4 linked regions of the Diceros bicornis minor genome follow. The protein of the gene in region 1 interacts with the protein of each later gene in a biochemical or structural test. Links are inferred from orthologs where the notes say so. Each region holds a gene or a part of one and is shown in the gene's direction. Other genes may lie near its edges. The genes, in order: SNTA1, MCM7, MAS1 and MAP4.

The links.
Region 2: the proteins of SNTA1 (region 1) and MCM7 interact in a test that uses a peptide from one of them, tested with the Homo sapiens proteins (2 studies listed by BioGRID and IntAct). The link is inferred for Diceros bicornis minor from reciprocal best matches to the Homo sapiens genes SNTA1 and MCM7.
Region 3: the proteins of SNTA1 (region 1) and MAS1 interact in a test that uses a peptide from one of them, tested with the Homo sapiens proteins (2 studies listed by BioGRID and IntAct). The link is inferred for Diceros bicornis minor from reciprocal best matches to the Homo sapiens genes SNTA1 and MAS1.
Region 4: the proteins of SNTA1 (region 1) and MAP4 interact in a test that uses a peptide from one of them, tested with the Homo sapiens proteins (2 studies listed by BioGRID and IntAct). The link is inferred for Diceros bicornis minor from reciprocal best matches to the Homo sapiens genes SNTA1 and MAP4.

What each region holds. Positions count from the first base shown.
Region 1 is NC_080758.1:26,311,039-26,318,306, forward strand, and holds the start of SNTA1 (alpha-1-syntrophin), read left to right. Parts: upstream 1-4,253; 5' UTR 4,254-4,329; coding exon 4,330-4,639; intron 4,640-7,268. UniProt on the Homo sapiens protein: Adapter protein that binds to and probably organizes the subcellular localization of a variety of membrane proteins. May link various receptors to the actin cytoskeleton and the extracellular matrix via the dystrophin glycoprotein complex.
Region 2 is NC_080765.1:5,669,560-5,676,472, forward strand, and holds the start of MCM7 (DNA replication licensing factor MCM7), read left to right. Parts: upstream 1-3,913; 5' UTR 3,914-4,014; coding exon 4,015-4,045; exon of another isoform or gene 4,046-4,328; intron 4,329-4,759; exon of another isoform or gene 4,760-4,945; intron 4,946-5,218; coding exon 5,219-5,298; intron 5,299-5,647; coding exon 5,648-5,812; intron 5,813-5,991; coding exon 5,992-6,116; intron 6,117-6,190; coding exon 6,191-6,371; intron 6,372-6,687; coding exon 6,688-6,825; intron 6,826-6,913. Other genes in the region: AP4M1 (AP-4 complex subunit mu-1), read right to left, coding at 1-181, 336-447, 599-649, 886-930, 1,214-1,308, 1,410-1,516, 1,657-1,710, 1,816-1,882 and 7 more. UniProt on the Homo sapiens protein: Acts as a component of the MCM2-7 complex (MCM complex) which is the replicative helicase essential for 'once per cell cycle' DNA replication initiation and elongation in eukaryotic cells.
Region 3 is NC_080778.1:9,971,101-9,977,558, reverse strand, and holds MAS1 (proto-oncogene Mas), read left to right. Parts: upstream 1-4,963; coding exon 4,964-5,938; downstream 5,939-6,458. UniProt on the Homo sapiens protein: Receptor for angiotensin 1-7. Acts specifically as a functional antagonist of AGTR1 (angiotensin-2 type 1 receptor), although it up-regulates AGTR1 receptor levels.
Region 4 is NC_080741.1:49,353,788-49,361,293, reverse strand, and holds the start of MAP4 (microtubule-associated protein 4), read left to right. Parts: upstream 1-4,496; 5' UTR 4,497-4,584; intron 4,585-7,506. UniProt on the Homo sapiens protein: Non-neuronal microtubule-associated protein. Promotes microtubule assembly.

The sequences.
Region 1 (7,268 bases):
GAACCCAGGCCGCCAGCGGCGGAGCGCCCGCACTTAACCGCTAAGCCACCGGGCCGGCCCCTTCCTTCCATTTCTTATTGAGTCACATATATGTCAGATGCTGGGTTCTTTTTTTCCACTTGTGTCTCCCCTGTTTTGACACTTATCACTCTAAATTAAAGCTATTTGATAGATGCCTGTTTTCCAGGATAATTACAATTCGTGTTTTATTTTTTTTGTGAGGAATTAGCCCTGAGCTAACATCTGTTGCCAATCCTCCTCTTTTTGCTGAGGAAGATTGGCCCTGGGCTAACATCCGTGCCCATCTTCCTCTACTTTACATGGGATGCCGCCATATTTATGTGGGACGCCCCACAACTCATATTTTTTCGAATGCTTTCTATGTACAATAATTATGCTAAGCAGTTTACCAGCATTATTTTATTCATTCCAATATCCAATCTCTGGGATAGTGATTTTAATACCCCATTTTATAGGCTATGAAATTGAAGCTTAAGGGTTAAATAAGTCACCCAGGATCACAAAGATAGAAAGAGGCACAGCGAGGGGCTGGCCTGGTGGTATAGTGGTTAAGTTCGCATGCTCTGCTTCAGCGGCCCGGGGTTTGCAGGTTTGGATCCCAGGTGTGGACCCACACACCGCTTATCAAGCCATGCTGTGGCAGGCGTCCCACATATAAAGTCGAGGAAGATGGGCATGGATGTTAGCCCAGGGCCAATCTTCCTCACAGGGGGAAAAAAAAAAAAAGAGGCACAGTGAGAATTTGAACACAGAAAATCAGAATCCAAAGCTCATGCTCTTGACCACCATGGGATCCTGCCTCCCAGGGGATGGTATGTTCAGTGAGCCTATCGTTTACAGCTGAATCTCTGCACCTAGTACTGTGTCTGGCACATAGTGGATGTTCAATAAATATTGTTGAATGAATGAATGGATTGTAAACGCATCCCTTGCTGCTATGTGGCCTGCAGAAAGGTGGAGTAGGAGGGATATGGGCTTGGAAGCCAGACAGACCCAAATTAGAATGGAGGTCTGTTCTTTTTTTTTTTTGTGAGGAAGATCAGCCCTGAGCTAACATCCATGCTAATCCTCCTCTTTTTTTGCTGAGGAAGACTGGCTCTGAGCTAACATCTATTGCCAATCCTCCTCCTTTTTTTTCCCCCAAAGCCCCAGTAGATAGTTGTATGTCATAGTTGCACATCCTTCTAGTTGCTGTATGTGGGACGCGGCCTCAGCATGGCCAGAGAAGCGGTGCCTCGGTGCGCACCCGGGATCCGAACCCGGGCCGCCAGTAGCGGAGCGCGCGCACTTAACCACTAAGCCACGGGGCTGGCCCCTAGAGGTCTGTTCTTACTAGTGGTGTGCCTCAATTTTCTCATCTATAAAAAGGGGATAATATGCAGGCTGTGCAGGATTTATGTGAAGTTTAAATGACAATGTACAAAATCAGCCAGCTCATGTGCCAATGTATAACAAACTGAATAAATGGCATCTATATATTTTATGTACTTGTGCGTATAATACATACATGTATTATGTACATGGCCTCAGCGGATTTTGGTGGTATAGAGCCATTCCCCTGTGGTTGGACACTTGGGTTCATCTCTGGTTATTTGCAAACATAAGTTTGCTGTGGACAATTTGTATACGTACCTGTTTTCTTGTGTTTTTTTTTCTTGATGGTATCTTGTTTTTTTTATTAAGGTAACATTTGTTTATAACATATTAATTTCAGGTGTACATCATTATATTTCAACTTCTGTATAGACTATATCATGTTCTCCACCAAAAGTCTAGTTGCCATCTGTCACTGTACACATGTGCCCCTTTACCCCTTTTGCCCTCTCCTTACCCCCTTCCCCTCTGGTGACTGACAATCTGTTCTTGTATCTATGTGTTTATCTTCCACATATGAGTGAAATCATACAGTATTTGTCCTTCTCCATCTGACTTATTTCACTTAGCATAATACCTTCAAGGTCCATCCATGTTGTCATGAATGGCAAGATTTCATCTTTTTGTGTGTGTGTGTGTGAGGAAGGTTAGCCCTGAACTAACATCCATGCCAATCCTCCTCTTTTTGCTGAGGAAGACCAGCCCTGAGCTAACATCTATTGCCAATCCTCCTCCTTTTTTTTTTTTTCCCTTTTTCTCCCCAAAGCCCCAGTAGATAGTTGCATGTCATAGTTGCACGTCCTTCTACTTGCTGTATGTGGGATGCTGCCTCAGCATGGCTGGACAAGCAGTGCGTTGGTGCGCGCCCGGGATCTGAACTTGGGCGGCCAGCAGCAGAGTGCGCGCACTTAACCCCTAAGCCACGGGGCCGGCCCCAGATTTCATCTTTTTTTAAAGCTGAGTAGTATTTCATTGTATATATATACCACATCTTCTTTATCCATTCATCCATGGATGGACACTTAGGTTGTTTCCAAGTCTTGGCTATTGTGAATAATGCTGCAATGAACATAGGGGTGCATATATCTTTTTGAATTAGTATTTTCCTCTTCTTTGGATAAATACGCAGAAGTGGCATTGCTAGACCCTATGGTAGTTTTATTTTTAATTTTTTGAGGAATTTCCCTACTGTTTTCCATAGTGGCTGCAGCAATTTACATTCCCACCAACAATGTACGAGGGTTCCCTTTTCTCCACATCCTCTCCAACGCTTGTTATTTCTTGTCTTTTTAATAATAGCCATTCTGACGGGTGTGAGGTGATATCTCATTGTGGTTTTGACTTGCATTTCCCAAATTAGTGATGTTGAACACCTTTTCATGTGCCTGTTGGCCATCTTGATGGTATCTTATGTGGAGGCTTCTACCTGAAGGTGCAGGGAGTCTACACATTGATGTGGCCCTAACAATTTTTGCCCAACACATCCCAGGTAGGAGTGGGGGGATGGAGACAAGGGGCAGATATGAGGGCGGGTTGAGGTGTGCAGTGTGCTGGGATTTTTCTGATAACAATTACGCCTCACTTCTGTACTTTGCAGCTGTCTAGCAGAGTGGGTCAGTGCCCAGGCACTGGTGTCAAACAGGCCTGGGTTTGAATCCCTGCTCTGCTCCACTCACAAATGTGTGACCACGCAATTAGACCTTCTCAATCCAAGTTCTCCCTTCTGTATAATGGGGGTATTCTTAACTGTAGCTACTGCATGAGTCTACTGTAAAGATGAGATAACACATCAAAAATGCTCAGATATGGGCCAATAGTAAGCATTCAGTAAATGAAAGTGATTATACTGATTGCCTAGGAATTTACAGTTGACAATGTGTTTTCACATTGATTTAACCCTGACACAAGCCCTGTGAGGTAGGGATTATTATGACCCCCATTTCACAGATGACGAAATTGAGGCTTAGACAAGTGAAGTGATGGGACCACCGTCGACATGAAGCTAACAGTGTCTGAGCAGGGACCCTAAACCAGGTCTCCAGACTCCTGGACCCAGAAACCCAACTTCCAGCCCTCTTCCCTCACACCAGGAGTTCTGGATTCTTCTCAGGCCAGGTCTCTCAATGTGGGACTTCAGGCTTTTCTGTATTCGGCTGTGAACAAAACAGGGGGTTAATCTCCTAAACTCTCTTTAAAGTGGGGACGTTGTCCACCCCTTCTCCAAGCCCTGAGCCAGCAGCACGCTCATCCCTGCGGGCGGGGCATGTCAGCTTTAGAAGCCACGCCCCACACTAAGCCAAGCCTACAGACCAAAGCTCCAGCCCCACAGTGGGAAACCAGCTCCTTCCAAAGCTCTTCATTAGCAACCCTTCCGGCTAAGTCCCTCGCAGACCGGGGTCCACCTCTTAAACTCAAGCCCTGTCCCTGGAGTCCAGCGCTCCTCCATATGTAGCCTCGCTCCGACGCCCAAAGCCTCGCACTCGGATCCACGTCTCTTTTTCTTTGGTTCCCACGTCCGTGAGCTGCGGTCCCAGCACTCGACGGCCAGGCCCAGCGCGGAGTCTCCTCCACAGGATCCTAGGGCTCCGCCCCCGGCACGAAGCCCCGCCCCCTGCATGGCCGGGCTCAGCTCCAGCACCTCACCTGCTCGTCTCCTTGCTTCGTGGCCCCGCCCCGGCGCCTTACGACCCCACCCCCCAAGCAGTCTCACAGGGCATCCTTCGGCTCCTGGGCCCCGCCCCAGCCTCCCGCCAGCTTGCTTGCGGCCACGCCCTCGCGGTTAGCCACACCCCCAGACAGCCCCGCCCCTCGAGGCTCCACCCCCAGCGGCCGGGGGTAGGGTGGCGGCTGGCCCAGCCGGGCCGCCGCTGCCCTCTGCCCTGGGCGCTCGGTCGGAGCGGGCCGGGCAGGAGGCTTGGGGGCTCGGAGGCGAAGATGGCGTCAGGCAGGCGCGCCCCGCGCACCGGGCTGCTGGAACTGCGCGCCGGGGCGGGCTCGGGGGCCGGCGGCGAGCGGTGGCAGCGGGTGCTGCTCAGTCTGGCGGAGGACGCGCTGACCGTGAGCCCCGCCGTCGGCGAGCCCGGCCCGGAGCCCGGCGCCCCGCGGGAATCGGAGCCCGCGCAGCTCAACGGCGCCGCCGAGCCGAGTGCGGCGCCCCCGCAGCCGCCCGAGGCGCTGCTGCTCCAGCGGCGCCGCGTGACGGTGCGCAAGGCCGACGCCGGCGGGCTGGGCATCAGCATCAAAGGTGGGCGCGGGGGCACCGAGGGCGAGGGGCCGTGGTGTCTCTGGGGCCGCCGAGGGCGCAGGGGCCGCGGGGGCTGGCAGCGTGCCGAGGACATGGAGTTGGAGGACTTCTGTCTGGGGCAAGGGGTCTGAGCGGACAGAGGGAACCGAGAGCGTGGGGAGCACCAAGGTCGGAGGGGGTTTGGGGAGTCAGAGGTCTCAGTCGGAAGGCACAGGTGTGGAAGGGATTGGGGGCGCACCAAGGACACGTGGTTGGGGAGTTTTGTGTGGAGGCGTAGAGATCTCAGAGGGGTTGCCTCTCAGGGGTTGCGTGGGCATCAAGGACAAGAGGGGCCCCGGGAGAGCAAAGGATGCAGAAAGAGAATTGAGGCCTGGGTCGCTGCTAGGGCAGGGAGGGGAAGTCCCTGAGGCGTAACCGAGGTAGCGGGGCGCGGGGGTGAGGCCTGAAGTCGGGAGCACAGCGGGGCAGGGGATGGGGCAGGGAATCAGAGACGTAGGTGGAAGCACCGGCTGGGCTCACAGACAGGGTCCAGAAGGCTGTGTACCTAGGCGGAGAGTCCTAACAACTGGGTTTCAGTTTCCTGACCTGACCATCTCTACCTTGCACGGGATTGAGAGGCGTGGACATAGAGCCCTCCTCCTCTCTGAGAACTGCCAGCCCCCAATACTGACAGCTTTCCTTAGGGTGCAACCAGATTTGTTTGAGTCGGGGATCAGCTATGTGAACTTGGACAAGTCACCTCCCATCTCTAAACCTCAGTTTCTTCAACTATATAATGAGGATAATGAGAGAGTTGTGATGTTTCTGTGAAAACAGGGATCTAAAGTACTCACCCTGCTGCACATAGTAGGTGCCTGGTTAATTATTGCTGTTAGATGAGAGAAAAAATGGAGGTCAGGAGAGACTCCCAAAGCAACTAACCATAGCGCTTGAAATCCCTGCACACCACCAGCTGTTGGTTTCACCGTTCCTACCCATCTGCTTCTCAGGGTCTCAGCTCCCAGCAGGGTACTACCTGCCTTGGGAAAGGGTGTTAGCCCTTGTGTCACCCTGGATATGCACTGTTCCCCCTCCCTGGTGCTGGCTCTTGTTCACTAGTGCCTCCAGACCCTTTGGCTTGGGTGAGGGGCTGGGGATGGTGGTGACTCGGCTACCACTGTGTGCTGACTGCTGTGCCCAGAACTCTAGGCTCACGATCCACTTCATCCTGGCAACAAGTGGTGGAAGGTAGGGAGCGTAATCCCCATTTTGCGCGTTAAGAAACTGAGACTCAGAGAAGTAAAATGATTTTAACCAGGATCATACAGTCACCGAGTGGCAGGGATTCGAACGTCAATTATCAGGACACTATAGAGTGCCCAGGGGAGTTGGTTCTGCCCTCTGGAACCCAACCAAAGCATCGAAAAGGGGAAAATAGGGAAGCCAGGGAGTGAGCACCAGTCTTGCCTCCAAACTCCCACATGCGATAGGGCAACAGATCAATCCAGAAATTGTACACTCAGTGTGTCAAAGCAAGAAGGAACTTAGAGTTCATATAGAGTTCCATTTTGCAGTTGGACAAACTGAGACTTGGAGATGAGCAGGGACTTTCCAAGGTCACATAAAGTTACTTCCCAGCTCCATATTTCCGGGTGTGTGTGTGTGTGTGTGTGTAAAGGTTCTTTTAGGAGGCATCAGGGCAAGTACCAGCTCCATTCAGTTCTTGGTGGTTGGAGACTGGGCTCCTGTTGCCATGGTGACCTCCCCTATAGGGTCTAGCTTAGCCCAAGGCAGCCAGGAATGATCATAGCTTGAAACCGAACTGAAGTCCCTAGCTTCAGGGGGATGAGGGCAGATATAAATAGAAGCCCCTTCCTTTCCTAGGCCTCCAGCTCTGTGCAGTGCAATGAACAAACCTTTGGGCCTGTGTGGGGGTCAGGAGAAGCGTTCCAGTCCACCTCTGCCACCAATTTGTTGTGTGATCTCGGAATAATGACCTCCCCTCTCTGGGCCACTAGTTCCTCATCTTTAGTATTCTGGGGATGGACCAGTAGTGTAATATCTGAGGGTTTGACTTGCAGTCTGCCATAGGGTTAAGAGTGTTGGTTCTGGAGCCTGGAGACCTAGGTTCAAATACTGGCTTTGCCACTAACTAGCTGGGTGACCTTGGGCAAGGGGCTTCTCTCCACACCTCAGTGTTTCTGATAGGAAACTGAGCGTGCCTGTGTGATTGGTTGTTGTGAAGATGCAATGAGACAGCATAGGAAGCATTTAACACACTGCTTGGCACTTGGTACATGGAACTAATGTGAACCGTTATTACTATTTCTTATTTTCAAAGGACATTCGAGAGTTTAGCGGTAAAGCAATTCAGTAAAATGTATTAGCTTTTTTTGCATCAGAGGTGCAATTCAGACAGGCTTTTGAAATCTCCAGACTTTGAGGCTTTGGTTTCCAGCCTGGATTCTGGATTGTAAAACTTTCTGATTGCTCAGGAGATCCTTTGGGGCCATAGGAATAGCTGAATTCTATCTTTTTTTTTAATAATTTTATTTATTTATTTATTTCCCCCCCCAAAGCCCCAGTAGATAGTTGTATATCATAGCTGCACATACTTCTAGTTGCTGTATGTGAGACACGGCCTCAGCAT
Region 2 (6,913 bases), on another chromosome or scaffold:
GTCTGAACACCAGCCTGAGGAAGCGAACCTGGAGGCCGGAGCATGTGTGCCGGGGAAGTTCAAAGGAGAGGCTTGCGGGGCCCAGCCCCAGAGGAGGGGCTGAGGTGGAGGGCCCTTGGCCAGGAGGGCCAGGGAGGCCTGGGACATCCATCTGTGAGGGGCAGAGGCAGGGGGAGGGGTGCTGAAAGCACAGAGAGAAAAAGCAAGGGAAGCCAAGTGGCCAGGAAGCTGCCCACGCTGGCGGGGACAATGCAGCGTCTGCGTGAGGAGGGATGGGTCAGGGGGCTGAAAATGGAGGTGGGAGGAGAGGGCCTGAGAGGATCAGCAGCTGATACCTGGAAAAGGCCTGAGAGCTGAGAGCCTCCTTGCACCCGAGGCAGGTCCCAGTGAAGGGCTCCCTCAGCCAGCTCTGCCTTCTGCTCTGGGCTGCTCAGCTCCTGAGATAGGCTGGAGTTTGGAGAGGAAAGGTGCTGTGCTCAGCCTCTGCCTTCATCAGGAGCAGGCCAGCCCCACCCCTAGCTCACTCCTCCCCAGTGCCATGCCATTGTCCAGGGAAGCTGGTAAAACCACCCGAGCCCCCACAGTGCACACGACTAACCTGACCACCCCTCGTGGCAGGGGAAGATGCAGCCTGACGTTAAGAGCCTGGCTGCAAAGAAAGGAACAGAGTCAGCCCCAGGAAGGTAGTGATTTGTCCCCACTCTTCATTAATGTCACAATTGGAGTTCCACACAAGTGCCACCCCATCCCCTTCCCAAACTCTAGAGCCTCTAACTAAACTGGATTCCGAGGCTGGTGGCTGTATCTGAAGGTGGGAAGCAACAGGTTACTGGGCCTGGTCTCCTACCCCACAGCTGAATTCAGCTTGGCCACCCCGACTTGTACCTCTTTGGGGGCAGGTCACATCGTAACTTCAGATAAACCTGGAGCCTGGGTGAGAGGGTACAATACCGTTACTCAGGCCATACCCTCCTGGCATCTCACCATCCCCTACCCAGGGCCCCCACGCGTGGCTGTGTCAGTGCCCCAAGAAGGAGAGAAGGGCTCCATTAGCCACAAGTGTTCATGGGGCTGAGTGCACTTCGGGGGAGGATGCCTTTTTCCAACTTGTACCATATTACCTCGACCACCACCACTCCACCATAAGTCTTGAGAACATATAGGTATCAGCTTGGATTCCAGAGAATTTCTGGAACAGGGGAAATGGTCTTACCTGCCTGAGCCTCGGTCCCACTGCACAGAGGGAAAGAGCCGGAAGGGGAGCGGGGAGGGGAGGTCATCTGAGAGTTGGTACCGCATCACAGTCAGCTGAGGCCAGAGAGGAATGGAGGTCAGTTTGGTCTCCTCACACTTGAACTGCCTCCCTTCCCCCCAGCAGATGGAATATCTTAGGCCACCCCGATCCTGACCTCGCCCTGAGGTGGCTGCAAGCGGAGGATTCGATGAGACTCAAACTCATCCAGATGCACCGAGCTGTGAAATGAGACCTCATCTACCCGAATTCCTGGCCCATAACCTGGAAAGAGAGAAAGAGCTCTCCTAAGCCATATCTGGGGAGAGAAAAGCAGGGAGGGGGGAGTCTGTCTCTAACTTCACTCCATGAAACTTTTGGCAGTGACCTATACACCTAGGAGAGAAAGACCCCTCTCTCCTCACCTCTCAGTTCTGACTTCCCCACACAAAATTCTTCTGTCAAGCCGATGCACATCTCTGTCAGAGGAAAGGACATCAGAAAAGGCCACCAAATGCTGCCATGCACACCACCAAGGAGCCTGTCCCAAACCCCAGCCTGGGGCCAGCCTGCAGACTTCTCACCGGAGCCGCTGGGAAGAAAGCTCTTGAGTCGGATCTCTCCCTGCACATCCACCTTCAGCAGCGAGCCCTGAGAGTGGCAGGGAGGTTAGTGCCCAGAGGTGACCTCCCTAACACAGTTTCCAAATACCATCTGTCCTCAGCTCCAGGGCTGGGGGCCTAAACTTACGTTAGATGCTATCAGTACGGACAATCTCTCCACCACATCCAAAAACACTTCATTCTTTTGGCTCTGAGGAAGAGAGGGGATTTGGGTGGTTGGAGGCTGAAGGGCCTGTGTTCTAAAGTGGACAGGCAGAAAGGACAGGATAGTGGAGGCCAGGGCCCTGGGGTGGGGACACGGGGGTAAGGGATTTATCCAGCTCTGGAGAGGTGAAAAGAGATGCCAGGATCTTAGACCTGGGGTCCCAGAAAAAAGCCAGAGGGTCTGAACCCATCAGTCCCTCCCTCACCTGGTCGGAGCGGCTGGACAGGACAGGGCGGCTGGCTGCGCTGCTGGGGGCCACTTTGCTCTGTTGGGTCTCGGCCCCAAACTGTAAAGCACCCAAAGCAATCAATCCTCAGGTTTGATACTCCCTGCCAACCCTCCTCCCTCCTTGTCCTCCTCTCTCCCTCAACTGACCAAGCCAACGCTGCTGAGGTCAAAGAGGCTGAAAGGCTTGCTGACCACGGCCTCTGTCTGGATGAAGTTCCTCAGCATCTCTGTGGATGTGGTCTGTACATAGCCATAATCCTATGGACGGGGGAAAGACAGTCTTTGAGTGGTCAGTGGAGGGAGGGGGTGAAAATGCGTGGACTTAGCCTCGCAACCACAGGATATATCTTCAGGGATCAGGGGACAGTGAGGGAAATCCTTGGAACTTACCAGCACTTCATCCAGGAGTTCATAGACAAGAGCCACGTTGCGGGAGATGGTCCCCTCACCCAGGGAGCCACAGTAATCGCCCAGGAGAGTGGCTAAGCTGAGGAGACAGGATGGAGTGTGCATATGCCCCTCCTCTCAGACCCCCACGCCCAGGTGCCCAGGCCTGCCCTCCTCACCGGGACAGCAGCTCTAGGAGGCTGAAGGGAGAAATGTTTTCTGAAGTCGTGGCCACCAAATAGAGGCCGCTGTGTCGGATGTGAATAAAATGACGGTCATCGTGGTGCTGAGGCAGAGGCGGGGTGGGGGGGGGGGAGCATTAGGAAAAGAGAGTTGTCCTGTTTAAGGGCCCATGAGCCTGGGGCTCCTTTCCTGATTCCCCTACTGACTACCAGTGTGACTTCAGGCGAGATATGAAACCTCCCTAGAGCCCACCTTCCTAATGTGTAAAGGGAGTTAATGATGGTACCTACCCCAGAACTGCTGAGGATCGAGACGTGTGAGCACCTGTGCCTGCTATATTGTTACCACTCAATAAACTTGCGTTAATATTATTTGGAAGAATGCACTCCCCCGGTGGAAGCTCTCAGGGAAACATCCTGGGAGGAGGCGCCCCCCGCCCAGGCCAGCCAGGCGCACCCCCCAGTACTCGCCCCCTCCCGCTCCACGAGTGGTTACCATGACAACCGGGGACTCGTCTCCGGGCAGTCCCGTCAGCTTCCGGTAGAAGAGCTCAGCCACATCCCGGCCGCCACTGTCCCCGCGAACTGACCGGGTGGAAGGACAGCTAAGGAGCGGGCGACACAGGCTTGCTCTGGGGCACTATTCCCACCCAGCCCCTCCCCCGCGCCCCCCGGGTCAAGGATACAGTCCTTGTAGATGAGCGGGTCCCCTTTGGAGGACAGAATGAAGAACTGGGAAATCATAGGCGTTCGGAAGAGTAGACAAGGAGACAGCGAAAGTTGGGCCTACCCCGCCCGGCGGCCGCGGAACAAAAGGACGCGCGTGCTGGCCCTTTAAGAGCGAGTCTCCTCCGACCGCGGGAAACCCGGCGCCCGCCCCGCCTCGCCTAGTCTTTCCCTCTCGCCACCCGCGCCGCTTCCCAGTCACTCAGTCCAGGCTCGCCCGGTGATTGGCCGAGGCGGGGGCCTGCGGCGAGTGGGGAGGGTGGAGGGCCTCCTCTCCGATTGGTCCGCACTCAGTGGCGCCGGTCACGTGAGGGGCGACGTTTCGCGCCAATTTCGGTTGGTCGGCTGCAGTCCGCCGCGCGGACGTTCTCTGTGATCCCGAGAGTGAGAACCTTGAGGTCGCCAACTGCTGCTGCACGGCCCTCGGCAGTAATGGCGCTTAAGGACTACGCGCTCGAGAAAGGTAAGGGTGTGCAAGCCTGGCAGCGGCGTCCGGCCAAGACCTGTTGGTGTGAGCTGGGGTCCTGGGGGGCCGGGGGCGGCGGGCGAGACCAGAGCCAGGGTCGGGAGGTAGTGGGTTGAGGCAGACGGTGCCTGGGAGGCGCGCAGGGTGCTGAGGGCGGAGAAGAGCTGTAACCGTGTCAGGGAAGGGAGGACGGATCGGGCTGGGGGTGCGGGCAGCCTGGCTGGGGCTCCAGAGGGGAGGGTCGCGCCCAGGAGAGACCAGGACATCAGGGGACCCTGCTTAAGGCTCAGGCACCCCCGGGCCCGTTTCCTCCGCGCCCTTAGGCACTCTGAGTGCCCGCGTCCTCCCGAGACGCGCCGAAGCCCCGGGGGTGGGCGGTCTCGGGCCGCTGCGCGCCGGGATTGGCCATTTTAGGCCAACCTCCAAGCGGAAGTGAAGGCGGGCGGAAGTTGCGCGACGAGGCTGGAGGGAGTGTCGTGTGTAAACAGTGTCCTTCCGCGCGGCGGCCTCGGAGAGAGCTACTGAGGGCGGGGGCGTGCCTGGAATTGGGGGGCTTAGCGGGAGGCCGAGAGGGGAGATAGTGGGGGAGTACGGAGTGTCCCTGGACGAGCTGGCCAATCGCCGGACGGGCTCCCACCGTGGGCGGAGGAATCCCGGGCTGTGAGGCGGCGGCATCGGGGCCCATGTGCTTCTTTGTTTACTAAGAGCGGAAGCAGTGGCGGGAGAGCGGGTGGAGGACGGGCCTAGTGGCCTCGATCCCAGAGAGAGCAGAGGTTTAGGGGACCGAAAGAAAAGGGGGAGTCATAGGCGTGGAAGAAAAGCTGAGAACCTTGATTGCTGAGTGTGTTGCTGGGTGTGAGAGGCCTTTGGGATAGGCTGCAAAGGTTTCTAACTAAGGTAGAGACTGGAATTCCCCTGGGGGCGGGTGTTGGGTAATACTCCTGCCAGGGGCCCCTGATTCTTCCCTGTTAAAAACAGACTTGTTAAAAAGGAGTTCTGCCCAGTTTGGGGAGAATTATTTAGGCTTATTTAAATGTTCATATAATTAATTAGTTTACAGATCTTGTTTTAAATGGGGTGGGTTTCTTAGATTTCTATCAGAGGGGTTTACGGTAAGGTTATCTGAAAGAAAGAAAGGTTGATCGTCGTGATTTTACGTTTACATTATAGAAAAAGTGAAGAAGTTCCTACAAGAATTTTACCAGGATGAGGAATTTGGCAAGAAGCAGTTCAAGTATGGGAACCAGTTGGTAAGTGTAAGACTAGGTAGAGGGAATGGGGTGGTTGCTTAAGGAGCTCTAAGAGGTGGCCTGGCTTATTTCAGCAGTTACATTTGTCGGTAAGGGACACAAATTTAGCACCATACCTGATACTGGTAAGTGAATAGAAAGCTACGTTCATGATAACTAAGGTGTTTTCAGGAGTTGGAAGGCTGTCTTTTGGGGGCTGAGAAGTGAGTTTTGCTATGTCTCACACCACTCTTGCTCTCCTGTGGAGACCTGGAACCTATGTGTTGAGCTCACAGTGATGGGGTCCTTGCCTGTGAACACTGGTGAGCACAGTCATCTTAGCTCTGTTGCTGTCTCTTCCCCACCGCAGGTTCGCCTGGCTCATCGGGAACAAGTGGCAATGTACATAGACTTAGATGATATAGCTGAGGATGACCCTGAGTTGGTGGACTCGATTTGTGAGAATGCCAAGCGCTATGCACGGCTCTTTGCTGATGCTGTACAGGAGCTGCTGCCTCAGTACAAGGAGAGGGAGGTGAGTGGTTGCAGAATAATGCAGGGCAAGGAACTTAGGTTTCTGTTAAAAAGTTTCTCAGATACTGATGGTTTCTGAGCTGGCAGAAAGAGGGGCAGTGATTTCTGCTTGGTGCCTTTTATGCTGTCTTTTTCCCGTTTTGCCACTCATTTTTCGTATCTTCCTCCCTCTTCCTTTAGGTAGTAAATAAAGATGTCCTGGACGTTTACATTGAGCATCGGCTGATGATGGAGCAGCGGAGCCGGGACCCTGGGGCACCGCGAAGCCCCCAGAACCAGTACCCTCCAGAACTCATGCGCAGATTGTAAGTGGTCTCAGTGGGGAAGGGTGTGAGAATTTATCCTTCAGGACCCTGCTGATGACTATCTTTTCCCTTAGTGAGCTCTACTTTCAAGGCCCAACCAGTAACAAGCCTCGTGTGATCCGGGAAGTACGAGCTGACTCTGTGGGGAAATTGGTAACTGTGCGTGGAATCGTCACTCGCGTTTCTGAAGTCAAACCCAGAATGGTGGTGGCCACTTACACTTGTGACCAGTGTGGGGCAGAGACCTACCAGCCGGTATGTATGGAGCAAGAAACAAGCACATGCTTAAATTTGTTCATTTTGAACAAGAAGTAATTTTGTCTGCTGGTGTTTGTCATTTTCTCTGTTGTAAAGTATGCCTGTATATTCACGTTTTATTCTTTTTCGGGTATGTGGTGGTCTTTTCTGTTCATTTTATTCTTGGTGCCTGTTGATATTGATGCAGAATAGTTCAAGATGTTCTTGACAATCCATGGTATCTGCCATGAAGAAGAAATATGATTTGAGTGACTGATTCTAAGGGCCTCGTTTCCTTCTGATTTCCTGTGTTACTTCCTTTCTTATATCTTAGATCCAGTCTCCCACTTTCATGCCTCTGATCATGTGCCCAAGCCAGGAGTGTCAGACCAACCGCTCAGGAGGGCGGCTGTATCTGCAGACACGTGGCTCCAAATTCATCAAATTCCAGGAAATGAAGATGCAAGAACATGTGAGTTTGGGGTATGTGGCGCAGGGTCCAGGGAAGGTGGAGCTTGGGAGGCTACTCGAATCCTGCAGTCACTCGTGGACTAGAAGAG
Region 3 (6,458 bases), on another chromosome or scaffold:
ACCCACCTGCATCAGAATCCCCTGGGCTAGGAAAATTCAGATTCCAGGGCTTTCTGAAACAGTGGGGCCCTGGAATTTGCCTTTTTAATAAGCGACCCCAGGTAATTTTTAGGCACTAAACTTGAATAAGCATAGCCTGTAAAAGAAGTCTGACGTTTAAGGAAGTATGGTAACCAGGTTTTCATGCTGAATTCAGTCCAGCCATTCATTTCTTTACAAAGTCCTTTCTCTGCCCAAGGTCCACCAGAATCCTCAAACCCCACCTGAACATCCTGTGCCCTCCTGCCTCCATGCCTCTATCCATCTGTTCTCTTTTCTTAAAATGCCTTTCTTCCCCTCCTCAGCTAACAAACTCCTACTGACCCTTCAATGCCCAGCCCTGTAAAGCCTTCCTTGAAACCCTGAGTCATTGCTTCCTGCTCTGTGCTTGCCCGGCTCACGGTTAAGGTCTCCTTTATTCCATTTCCCATATTGAATTAGATTTAGTTCTTTCTCCCTGTGCAGAGAACTGTGTCTTATCTATTTCCTTATCCATAACACTTAGGACAGTGGCTGAAACATGTTTGTTTGAAAATGGAGAGAAGGTGATATATCTGCAGAAAGTGAATTTGGTTACTTTGGTTTGACTCTAAAAGGAAAATACAATTTGATCTTAGGCGTCAAAACACCTTTCCTACCTGATTTTTGTGCGGAGTGCATGAGAGCTCTGTTGCACGTAATGAGAGGCGGAAACCTGAAGGAGGTTGTGGTTCAAGGGTGTGAGCAGAGTCAGAAAGATGTTCTTGTCAATTTTCTTAAAAATTCTGATTAGGTCCTGATTTTATTTCTAGTCTTTGGATTAGGTTTGTTATTAAAAGACGAAGACATTTGACTTCCTTGTATAAGGCATTTTGGTTTTCTGATGGCTCTAAACCTGAGCCATCCAGTGTGCTAGCTGCTACCCACAAAAGACTATTGAGCATGTGAGATGTGGCTGGTCTGAAGGAGATGAGCTCTAAGAGTAAAAGGCACCTTGGATTTTGAAGACTTGATGTGAAAAAAAATAACGTAAAATATATCATTTTTTATATTAATTACATGTTGCGGTGATATTTTGAACACATTGCGTTAAATAAAATGTTATTAAAACTCATTTCACCTATTTCTTTTTACTTTTTTATGTGTGGCTACTAGTAAAACTTAAATTACACCTGTGGCTCGTGTTATATTTCTATTGGATAGTGCTGGTCTAGACCCCGTTTACTCTCTATCTTTTTGTACTCCGGATTATTCTTTTTTCTTCTTCTTTCCCTAAAACACCACCACTACCAGCAGCAGCAGCAGCAGCAACAAAACGCCCAGCTCTGAGGCGCATGCCATCCAACTATGTCACCTACCACCCTCCTCTCTGTGACTATCTGCAGATCCCTCAGTCGCTTTCTCAAATCCCTGGAAGATTTTAGCCCTTGGCTCACAGTCACTATTTTCTAAGTCTATTCCTATCTCCAACACTACGTCCCAGTGATTTCAATGTCCATATAGATATTTCAGTGTCCATATAGGTACTCTTCCAGAGCCCTGGCCTCCAGGTCCTGGTCTCCCCTCACATGACCTTGTCCTCCACTGTCCCTCAGCCATTCATCCCCATGGCCATGCTCTACACTTGTCAATACAAATAACCCCAACACCACACGGCCATAATCTCAGTTCCAAGCATCGCATTCTCCAACCCCGCCCCCCACCACCACCATTTTCCAGTTTCTGCCTTTAGTTCCGGCACCTCAGCGGTTCTCGGACACCACTGAGATCTGCAATAGATGGCTCCTATCTCCTGCTCATTGTCCGTCACCTCCCCGAGACCTCACTTTTCTCCTAACTCTGTTGAATTCCATAGTATGTCGTCATAACCACTCCCTTCCATGGGCTTCAATTCCTTTGCCCCCCACTGTCCATTGCACAAGCCTGATAATAGCCAACCCTGGTTAAATCCAACCGTCTTCTTTCTCCGGGTTTGCACCCGGGCAGCTGAACCAGAGCTGGAGAAAAGCCCATGTCATGCTGAATTGTCTCTTTAAATTCATGAGCACCAGCCTGGGCAGGCTCTAAGGTTTGCCTGGCCATCCTGCTCTTTGTGTATTTCCCTAGTCCTTTCCCTCCTTCACTTGATTATTTCACACTTTCCCTCTCTCCTTAAACCCTCAACCTCTCCTTATTCTTAGCTGATGACCTTGCTCCTTACTTTGCTGAAAAAAGAGATACTGTACGTTCGGAAGAGAACTTCTTCTAACATCTAACACTCCCCTGTCACTCTACCCACCTGGCTGCATCTTTAACCAGATCCTCTGTCTTCCCTCTGTTCCCATGAATAAATTATGCTCCTACCTAAGGCCAGCAACTCCTCGGAGCTCTAGATCCCTACCCTCAGGTATCATCCATTGTTTCCTTTCTACCGGATAATTCTCATCAGTTTATCAACTCTCCCTCAACCCCACAGCCCTCTCCAGTTACTGCTCCATTTCTGCTTGAATTTACATTCAAGTTCCATGAGAAGGTTGTCTATACTCACTGTCTCCACTTACTCTCGTCCCATCCTCTCTGGAATCCACCTTGATTAATCAGGCTTTCATTTTCTCTACTCCACCAGAACTTCTCTCATCAAGGTCAACAATGACTCTCCTCTAATGGTCAATTTCCAGTTCTCACGTGACTGGAACTTGCTGTGATGTTAGCACAGTCGATCACACTCCCTTCTCCTTCAAACACTTTCTTTGCTTCCCAGATACCACTCTCTTAGTTGTCTCAGATCCTTGTTTCTCTTGTTTCTTTCTAACCTCTAAACTTTGAAATGTCCCAAGGCTCAGTCCTTGGACCCCTTCTCCTTTTTGATTACTCACATTTCATGGGTAATCTCATTTAGCCTCATGATTTTAAATTCCACCTGTTTGTATACAACACTCACATTTATATCCCCAGCCTACATCTGCCCCCCAACTCCTGACGCCCTACTAGACACCTCCATTTGGCTGTCACATAGGCTTCTTTAACTCCATATGCCCCTCCTAACCGGCTCCACCTGTGCCTTGTCCATTCAGAAAATGGCTAAAAACGTGTTCTCTCTTTCTACGATAACACATATCTTATCCATCAGCAAATCAAATTGTATCCAGAGTCTACCCACGTCTTACTGCCACCACCACACTCTGGTCCGTGACATGGTTCATGCTCTACTTTTCTCAGTGGCACTTATTATGATCTGACATCTATTTATTTGTTGTTGTTGTTATGTTATTTGGTTATTGACTGCCCCCCCCCAATGGCATATAAACTCTAAGAGGTTGGTGCTTTGTGTGTTTCTTTCATTGCTGTATCCCAGTGCTTAGAACAGTGCCTGGCATGGAGTTGGCACTGAATAAATATTTGATGGGTGATTTGGCGGAACATGGCTGTCTTACCTACAAACTTACAACAAACGCTGGTCTCTACAGCAGATCTTTGGTCGGCCATGCTGTGGTATTGTGAATTGCGGTTCTTGTGTTGGGCCCAGAGGGTATTGGGGCCTATATCTTCTGTGTAATTATGAAATGAAAGGAGACTCTGCCCCAGTGAAAACAATTTCCAGTATCTCGTCAGAACAGCTGAGGGAAGTGTTAGTGGGGAGACGGGGGTTCAGGACAGCGGAGGCAGGGACCTCTCCAGGCTCCTGGATCACACCACCGGGGAGGTAACTATCCTTTCACCAGTCCGCCTGCTAGCCCAGGTTTCAGGCACAGCTGTACTGAGTGAAAACCCTGGCCAATGCCAGGGTTCTGCTGACTCAATCCTGGAAACGTCTCATATCATCAGAGACATTCAAGCTCCACAAAATATCACATCTATGTACTGTTCTGCTTCAGGTGAGCTTGTGAGGAAAAGGCAGATATCTACCAATAGAAATATTGTTTTGGTCAGCTTCCTAAACGTTCATTATTTTTTGCACATGTAGGGGCCCTGTTCTGCAAGGACAAAGTTCAAAAAGCAAAGAACAATATTTTAACACCGAAAAAAAAAGTCTAAAGAAAAAAACAGCCAAGGCCAGTGGTGAAAGTGGCTTACGTCTGTTTGTTACATAACAGGAAGAGGGTGTGGGCTGTGCGTGTATTTATTTTGCAGTTTGTAACGTGTGAGGGAAAGTTTCTGAGAATCTTTGCTTTGCGGTCTCAAACGTTTAGCGTTTTTATTGATTTCAGGTTAATGCTTTGTTTAATGTCTGTCAATAGTGTTTTCCTGCCTAGTCTGGCCTATGGTATGTGGATGTGTAAATACCTCTTGTTAAGGCCCGCCATCTGTTGCAGAGTCTTGGTTTACACTGCACACCTAGTCTGAGTACGTGCCCAGCTTTGTCACAGGTATTGAGACTACATAAAATAAAGGCCTTCTAATTGTTCATACTTTCAAAAATATTGGTACACTATTGTACATAATTTTGCTAGCTATTCCCTCTCCTTTACTCATGGCTTATGGCACTTTATGCATTGAAAAACAACAACAACAAGATTGCCCAAACATGTATTCTGTCATGGCATTTTAACGCGATTAACCTTGTCCTTCAGGCCAGGAGATGGAGGCACAGGAGATGAAATGATTTTCAAAATGCCATTCTGAAATCTTGGGCCAGACCAGAAATGCACACCAGGAACTCAGACTCTCTGGCTTTGCCAGACCCCTTGTGGCACTGAAACACAAGCAAATAATAATACAGAAATAAGGGCAATTGGGAGATCAAAAAGTCATTAAATCAATTCTCTTTTCTGGTGAAATGTCTAATTTGATCATCATTAAAAAGAGAATTGTACGGTCTATTAAACTTTTTTTTTGTACAGCATGAAGGTTATGATCCATAGCGGAAATTCTCCCTTTTCCTCCACTTCATCAATTTTCATGGTTTTTTTTTTTTTAAACTTATTTACAGAAAATTACCCAAAGAGCCCCAGCCTGAGGCCTCCTCATGGATGAGTCAAATGCGACATCATTTGTTGAGGAGTCCACAAACGCCTCAACCAGCAGGAACACCTCCGTCGGAGACCCGCATCGGGAGATTCCCATCGTGCACTGGGTAATTATGAGCATCTCCCCACTGGGCTTTGTTGAAAACGGAATTCTCCTCTGGTTCCTCTGCTTCCGGATGAGAAGAAATCCCTTCACAGTCTACATCACCCACTTGTCTATTGCGGACATCTCTCTACTCTTCTGTATTTTTATCCTGTCTGTTGACTATGCTTTAGACTATGAGCTCTCTTCTGGCTATTACTACACAATTGTCACATTATCGGTGACATTTCTGTTTGGCTACAACACGGGCCTCTATCTGCTGACGGCCATTAGTGTGGAGAGGTGCCTGTCCGTCCTGTACCCCATCTGGTACCGATGTCATCGCCCCAAGCACCAGTCGGCATTCGTCTGCGCCCTCCTGTGGGCACTTTCTTGCTTAGTGACCACCATGGAATATGTCATGTGCATTGACAGTGAAGGTGAGAGTCACTCTCGAAGCGACTGCAGGGCGGTGATCATCTTCATAGCCGTTCTGAGCTTCCTGGTCTTCACTCCACTCATGGTGGTTTCCAGCACCATCCTGGTAGTCAAGATCCGAAAGAACACGTGGACAGCCCATTCCTCAAAGCTGTTCATGGTCATCATGGTCACCATCATCATCTTCCTCATTTTCGCCATGCCCATGAGACTCCTTTACCTGCTGTACTATGAGTATTGGTCAACATTCAAGAATTTGCACCACATTTCTCTTCTCTTCTCCACGATCAATAGCAGTGCCAACCCTTTTATTTACTTCTTTGTGGGCAGCAGTAAGAAGAAGCGATTCAAAGAGTCCTTAAAAGTGGTTCTGACCAGGGCTTTCAAAGATGAAATGCAACCCAGGCGCCAAGATGACAATGGTAATGCCGCCACAATTGAGACTGTCGTCTGAGGATGGTGGAGTGACATAGTGGACAAAAATGGTGGGACACAGATAATTTGTAGTTTGTGTTTGGAACACAACTTAAGTATCTCCTCAACATGATACAGAGGGACACCCCATCCTATATGCATGAGACACTAATTAATGATGAGGTTGTACTACTGTATTGTATCTTTTGGAAATGCCTGAATACGTGTTGGACCTCTACCATTTCTGTACCTATCAAAAACATTCTTTCTGTTCCTCCTCAGCTCTTCTGGCAGCATTTTCCCATGAACTATAAAAATTCCTCTGGCAGGAAGGTTTATAACTGTGTACAAGAAAAGGTAACAAAAGTATTTATTGGAACTAGAGGAGGCAGAGCAATGTAGCGGGAGGAACATGGACCTGGGAGTCAGGCGGACTCTGTCATTTGCTGCCTGTGCAACTTCAGGCAAGTGGTTTAACCTCTTGGAGCCTCATTTCCTCACTTATAAAATGGTGACAGTAATAGTCCATACCTCCCGGGCTTGTAGTGAGGATGAAATAG
Region 4 (7,506 bases), on another chromosome or scaffold:
AATTATATTTTCCTCTCTCCATGGAATTCTAATATAAACATTGTAAATTATGATAAAAATTGGTATTTAAATTGTGTATTTTTCTGAAAAGCGTTGTTACCAAGAAATTTCAGCTAGAGATTCCTACCTTGAGAGCATCAAGATATCTCCCTATATTGTCTTCTAAAAGTTGTAAAGTTTTATAACGTTTTTCTGAAGAAGACTTACAACACTATTGTTAGGTTTATTTCTAGGTACCATATGGATTTTATTGTTTCACTGTAGTGAAGGAGTTTTTTTTTTCTATTACATTTTGTAATTGATGATTACTGCTATATAAGAAAGCTATTCCTTTATGTATGTTAACTTTGTATCCAGTAACTTTGCTGAATTCTCCTATTAATTCTAGTAATTTGTAGATCTTCTCAAATTTTCTATACAGAAAATTATAGTACCTACAAATTAGGATAGGCAGACGTAATAGCCTGAGGAAGGTCCTGAGAGAGGAAAGCTCAGGAAACAAAGAAGGCAGACTATGCTGGGCATAGTGAGAAATAAGGCAGATGATGAGGCGAGACAGAGAGAGAGCATCATCGCACAGGGTCTTGAAAGAAAGCTAATTTCCGGATTTTAATGCAATAGAAAGCCACTGAAGTAGTTTAGGTTAAAACTGGAGGGATGACTCTTTGGTAAGTTGTTGGGCTCTGCCCATGTTTGTGTCCTGGGCAACATTTTGATCAAAATTGGGATGAATAAATATAAAGCATGCTTTTCATGGATAATAAATATAGTGGATAACCCTAAAATGTCTTCTTATGAACTTGTAGAACCTCAAGAATATATCCTTAGACATGGGACTGCATGTTTGATAAGATCCTGTCCAACTCTGAGAGGCTAGGGATCTATGTTTTTCATCCTGGGCACCCTGGAACTGGAAAGAAGATTCTTTCCAATTGGAGGCGGGGGAAGAGAATGAACCTCTACTTTGAGAAACAATCTATTAGGGCAGATCCTCGTTTACACAAATAATTACCACATATGTGGTGAGTGCTGTAATAGAAGGGCATATAAGGGGTGCAGGAAGGTGTGTATGAACTGGAGGGGGTGGTGCAGAAGATTGTGAAGCTTGGATTGAAGCAGGGGCAGAGGGAGGGCTTGGAGTAGTTGTGGAAAGAGAAAAGGGACTGAACCAGAATAGCATCAGTGTTGATGATGTTTCTGAGGCAGAAGGAGCATCTGGTAGGCCTGAGCGGCGAGAAGGAAGGGAATAATTGAGAATGACTCCTGGGTGTCTAGCTTGGGATACACATAATATGGTGACTCTATTACCTTAAAGGAGGAATGAAGGATTCCAACACTTTTGAATCTTCCCAGCCATTGACTTCTAAGGAATTCAAAGACAATTCTATTCATGAAGCCTGGGACAGGCCTTGGGGTTGGATACTCCAGGCAGCAGGAAGAAGAATCAAAGTAACTTTTTAAGCCTGTATGTGTTTTCCTACAACAGTAAGTTCATGCTTAGACAAAATCTGTGGGTTTTGGTGTGAAGTAATGCCAATTGCACCAGGACAGGAAACCTATTTTATTCATCTTTGTACAAGTGCCCATCACTGTGTGGACCTTCCTGATGTGCAGGTACTCAATCAATGTCTGTTGGATGAATGAATTCAGGCTTGCAATGGTAGTTCCCCTCCTTTGGAATCTGGGTAAGTATGAGAGGAGGAAAGCTTTGGGTTTGGGCTGAAGACACCTGGCTTATTAACTGGTGTGTGACCTAGATTAGTAATTTCAGTTCTCTGCGTTTGGCCTAAAGTCCTTCCCAGGCTCCAATTCACAGTTCTATGCCTTTGCCACTTATTCTTTTACTCTTAATCCTTTCATATTTGTCTAGACTCTTAACACTCCTTTATAGTCATTATGATATTAATAGTAAACTTGGGGCCGGCCCCGTGGCTTAGTGGTTAAGTGAGCGCGCTCCACTGCTGGCGACCCGGGTTCGGATCCCGGGCTCACACCGACGCGCTGCTTCTCCGGCCATGCTGAGGCCGCATTCCACATACAGCAACTAGAAGGATGTGCAGCTATGACACACAACTATCTACTGGGGCTTTGGGGGGAAAAATAAATAAATAAAATCTTAAAAAAAAAAAATAGTAAACTTGATAAGTGCTTGCGAAGTGCTAGGCACCAATCTAAGCACTTTACATATATTAACACATCTGATCCACATAACAACCCTAAATGAGGTAGGTACCATTATTTTACATTTTACAGTTGAGGAAACAGAGGAATAGAGAGATTAAATATCTTCCACAAGTTCACATAACTTCTAAGTAGCAGTGCTCAGATTTGCACAGGGAGTCTGGGTCCAGAGTCCAAGTTTAACTACCTCAGTATGCTACCTCTAGGTCATTCTAATAGTGACCACGAGAGAAGCTGATGGTGTATTATCTTTTTTTTGGTGAGGAAGATCAGCCCTGAGCTAACATCCATGCCAATCCTCCTCTTTTTGCTGAGGAAGACCGGCCCTGAGCTAACATCTATTGCCAATCCTCCTCTTTCCCCCCCCTTTTTTTTTTTGCCTCCCCAAAGCCCCAGTAGATAGCTGTATGTCATAGTTGCACATCTTTCTAGTTCCTTATGTGGGACGCCGCCTCAGCATGGCCGGACAAGCAGTGCGGTCCGTGCGCTCCGGGGACCCGAACCTAGGCTGCCAGTAGCGGAGCATGCACTTAACTGCTAAGCCACGGGGGCCGGCCCCTCTTTTTTTTTTTTTTAATTGATGTCTTAATAGTTTATAACGTTGTGAAATTTTGGTTGTACATTTTTGTCAGTCACCATATACATGTCTCCCTTCACTCCTTGTGCACACTCCCGATCCCCTTTGCCCCTGGTAACCACAATACAGTTCTCTCTGACTGTGTGTTGGTTTATATTCCACATATGAGTGAAATCATGCAGAGTTTGTCTTTCTCTTTCTGGCTTATTTCACTTAACATAATACCCTCCAGGTCCATCCATGTTGTTGCAAATGGGACATGTATTATCTCATTTTTATAAATAAGGCAACTGAAGGTTAACTTCCCTAAGGTTACATAACTAGAAAGTAGCAGAGCTGGACTTCAAACCCCGGCTTTCAACCAAGTCCACCGTTCTTCTGGTAACCAGTCTGCTCTAGTGATTTGAGTGTACCAGTCTGCTCTAGAGGTTTGAGTGTACGCCCCAAATGCCTGGCTGCCTGAGTTAAGGCCCCACTCTGCCAGTTAACTGGCTTGCCAACATTAGGTAAGTTACTAAACTTCTCATTTGTTTCCTCATTTGTAAAATCAGAATGAGAACATTAATACCAACCATATAGGATTGTTGTGATGATTAAACGAGTTATTAGGTGTCACATACTTATAAGAATGCCTGGATCATAGTAAGCAATAAATACGTGTTATCACTTATAGTTTTGAACCAGCGCTATCCGGCAGAAATATGTGAACCAAATAGTAATTTTAAGTTTTCTACTGGACACATTATTATTATTTTTTTAATTTTATTTATTTATTTTCCCCCCAAAGCCCCAGTAGATAGTTGTATGTCATAGTTGCACATTCTTCTAGTTGCTATATGTGGGACGCGGCCTCAGCATGGCCAGAGAAGCAGTGCCTCGGTGCGCACCCTGGATCAGAACCCCAGCCGCCAGCATCCGAGCGCACGCACTTAACCGCTAAGCCACGGGGCCGGCCCTGGACACATTTTAAAAAGTAAACAGAAACATGAAATTATTTCAAATATATTTTATCTAACCAAATATATCCAAAACTGTAATCAATTATCCAACTTGTAATCAATATAAAAATTACGAATGAGCTATTTTATATATTTTTTTGTATTAAGTCTCGGAAATCCGGTGTGTATTCCACACTGACAGCACATCTCAACTTGGACCAGCCACGCCACTTGCGGCTGGTGGCCACGCACCCCTGGAGAGACCCCCGGCCGCGGCCTCGTGCCCCCACGGTACGTTCCAGCGACCAGCTGGCCCGCGCCCTAGTCCCGCCCCGCGCCCTGCCCAGGTTACATCACAGAGCCTACAGGCCCGCGGGGGGGGAAACCCGACCCCGGCCGCGTGTGCCCGGACGACCGCATCCTCCCTACTCCAAGCACCCAAGTTCTAAAAAGAAGGGACGACCATCACACAGCAGCGGGGCGGTCAGTCTGCCCGCCAGCCGCTTCGGCTAACGCCAGCGGGAGGCGAGATTCCGGAACCCCCATGCGTACTTCGCCCCCAACGGCCCTCCGCTCGCGCCTCTATCACCGCGAGGTCGAGGCGGTGGGGCCAGCGCCCATTGGTCCGCTGCAGCCCTCCGCCCGCCCCCTCGCCGCGCTTATTGGCAGGAGCAGCGGCGCCCGCGGGATAGGCGGCGGCGGCGCCCCTCCCTCGCGCCGGCCCTCAAGAGGGCGACGAGGAAGCGGCCACCTCCCTGCGCCCCGCCCCTCGGGCTTGCTTGGCTGGCTCCCGGCCCCTCCCGACTTCTCCCGGCTCCTCCCGGCTCCTCCCGGCCCTCTCCCGGCTCCCTCCGGCTCCGGCTCCGGCGCGGCGGCGGCGGCGGGTAGGTGCAGCCGCGGGCGGGGCCCAGTTGGAGGGGCGGCCTCACTTCTATCCCGGGGCTGCCCGAGCCTCGCCTCGCGCCCGCTCGGGACCCCACAGGGGCCGCCTGAGGCGGGGAAGGGCGGTGGCTGTCGGCCTGCGGGACGCGGGGTTGGCCGGGCGGGGGGCCTGCGGGCGTGGTCTTGCGAGTCTTCCAGGCGCGATCGGGGGGCCTGCGGGGCGGGGCAGGCCGAGACGTCTGGCTCTGGGGGTCGAGCGTGGTGGCGAGTGCCATGCGTTGGGCTCGGGATCGGGCTGAGCCCGGGGAGCGAGGGTCGGCTGCAGTCTGGGGCCCTGGGTGGGGCTCGGAGAAGTAGGAGAACTCAGAGGCCGTTCCATGAGGCTTTTGGGGGGTCAGTTGAGGTGGGGCTGAGGCGAGCCTTAGAGAGGGTGCCCCCTTGGGTTGTGGGAGTGGCTGGAGAACCGCGCCCCAGCCCGGGCTCTGTGCGTGCGTCGGCCGTGGCGCTGTTTGGGGACTAAACATGTGTCTGGCTGCGAGAGTGCGAAGGGGTTTCAGTATGGGTGGGGATAGGACGATAGGGAGAGGAACCAGGAGGGGCAGTTGGAAACCTTACTGAGAACAGAGATTGTGGTTTAGTACATGGACCAGGTTCTTCACTGTTGTGTTGCGTGAGCTCTTTAGTGAAATTGCCTCTTGGGGGAATGTTGGGGGTTTTGCTTCCATCCAGGAACGTGTAAATTAAATTCATTTGCTGCTTTTGGAAGGTGGCAGTGATTACGCTTAGGTTTGTGTTTTAGGATCCAGACCCAGAGTGAAAGGTACTTCTCGGGGAGGTTAGTGTTATCCAGCTTTCTCCTGGAAAGCCCCTTTTCTCCTTTCTCTCCTCTGGTCCAGTTACAGTATTGCTCCCCAGGGCCTCTCCATTCCCGTTCCCGGGCTGCTTAGCGTTGCAGTGTTCTTGCTCTGTGTTTGCCTCCCTCCCATTTCCCTGCTGCTGCGCTTTTGGCAACTGCCTCTGCTCTTTCCCAGGGATGGTTGTGGCATTGCATCAGGGGATATTTGTGCTTGTAATTTGCTCACTCAGCCCAGGAAGAGGGAGAATCGTATGCTGCAGAGATGCGAGGGGGGTGCCGTCAGCTAGGCTGGGTAGGCAGAGAAATGGGTGTGGTGAGGGAATACAGCTGCTCTAGGCCTATAGGGTAACACTGCCCAGTCATCAGCTCAAAGGGATTCAAAGAGCAGCAGCAGCTATTTTTATAAATCAGTCCTGAATCCAAGCTGAGCACATGGATTTAGAGTGAACAGTTGTCATGCTCTAACCATTACAGGCTGGGTGTTTGGTAGACAACATTAGAGTTGCTAAGCAAGAGACTCCATCCATCTGTACAGTGCAGGGGATACTTTACTTGCAGCTTTTTAACTTTTCTCAGCTTTGTAGAATGGGACGGCTCTCTTCAGGGGGTCTCTTTTATATTGATGTGGTTTGATTGTCCTTAGTACTTCTTTTCAGATGAAATGTTTTTACCTCAGTTATACTGTTGCTTTCGAATTTTGCTTAAAAATAATAAAGCTATCACTTTCTGAGTACTTGCCATCTTCTAGGCACTAGTTGTAGGTATTTATTTACGAATGAGGAAATTAAGACTGACAGGAATAAGAGGTCACGCAGTTAAGTGGCATCCACACCAAGGTCTCTCTGACACCCACACAGTAGTTCAGAAACTCAAAATTTTTGGTTCACACAAGTGTGATTCAAGTGCTTGAGAATTTATTCATGCGAAGTAAACTCACCAGAGACTGATAGACCAAATACCAGTTTATTTACATCGAAAGTATTAAGTGCCATGTACACAATAGGAATTAATTATCCACTGGCAGGGACTCCTCCTTTGTTTCTGGGCAGCCATATCAGTAATAAGAATGCAGTTGATTAAAGAATTGGAACTAAGGGCACTGGATGTTCTTAGGGGATGTTTTAATCAAGTTACAGAAGCCTGGTGAGTCTCCCTTCTTTCCCTATTTTACAAACACACATACTAATGTTTGACAGTGCTGAGGAGATTCTTAAACATTTTCCCATTCTGTCTCAGTTGTTTTTTTAAGTCATCTCTTCATATATTTGTCATCCCAGCATATATTTACCTGTGTTAAAATCCCCAAATCTACAAATAAGTTTACATTACATATAAAAAGTCATTTTCCGGGGCCGGCCCTGTGGCCTAGTGGTTAACTTCAGTGTGCTCCACTTCGGCAGCCCGGGTTTGCTTCCCTGGCAGAGACCACTTGTCAGCGGCCCCGCTGTGGTGGCAACCCACATACAAAATAGAAGAAGATTGGCACAGACGTTAGCTCAGGGCGAATCTTCTTCAACCAAAAAAAAAGAGGAAGAAGATTGACAACAGATGTTAGCTCAGGACGAATCTTCCTCAGGAAAAAAAAAAAGTCATTTTCCATTGTTTGCTGAAAGTGAAGGAATCACCTGGATTTTCTTATGTTTAGGTGGCTTAGTTTTATTTTTTTAATTTTTTTGAGGTTATGAAAACTTTTATTAATTACATAACATGGCTTTCAGGGGAGAGTAGGAGAGGTTTCTCAGGCTTGTTCAAAATGGCTTGAGAGCAGGGAAGGATACCGGCTTGTGGTTTTTTTTGTGGTTATAGGGCGGGGGTGGGAGTGAGTGTTCCATCTTGTGAAGGGGCTTGTGTGGTTTGAACCCCTCACCTACATCAAGATAGGTGGCTTAGCTTTAGTCAGAGAGATGGTTCTTCTTGATCTCAGTGTCTTGTTCTTTTTCCTCATCTTGTTTCTGAATTTGGTGATCCATCCTTTGGCTCTAAACTTTTGCTGTTGACATTTCAAATTTTTGGCATCGCTTTTCTTCTTCTTCTTCTTCTTTTTTGTGAGGAAGATTAGCCCTGAGCAAACA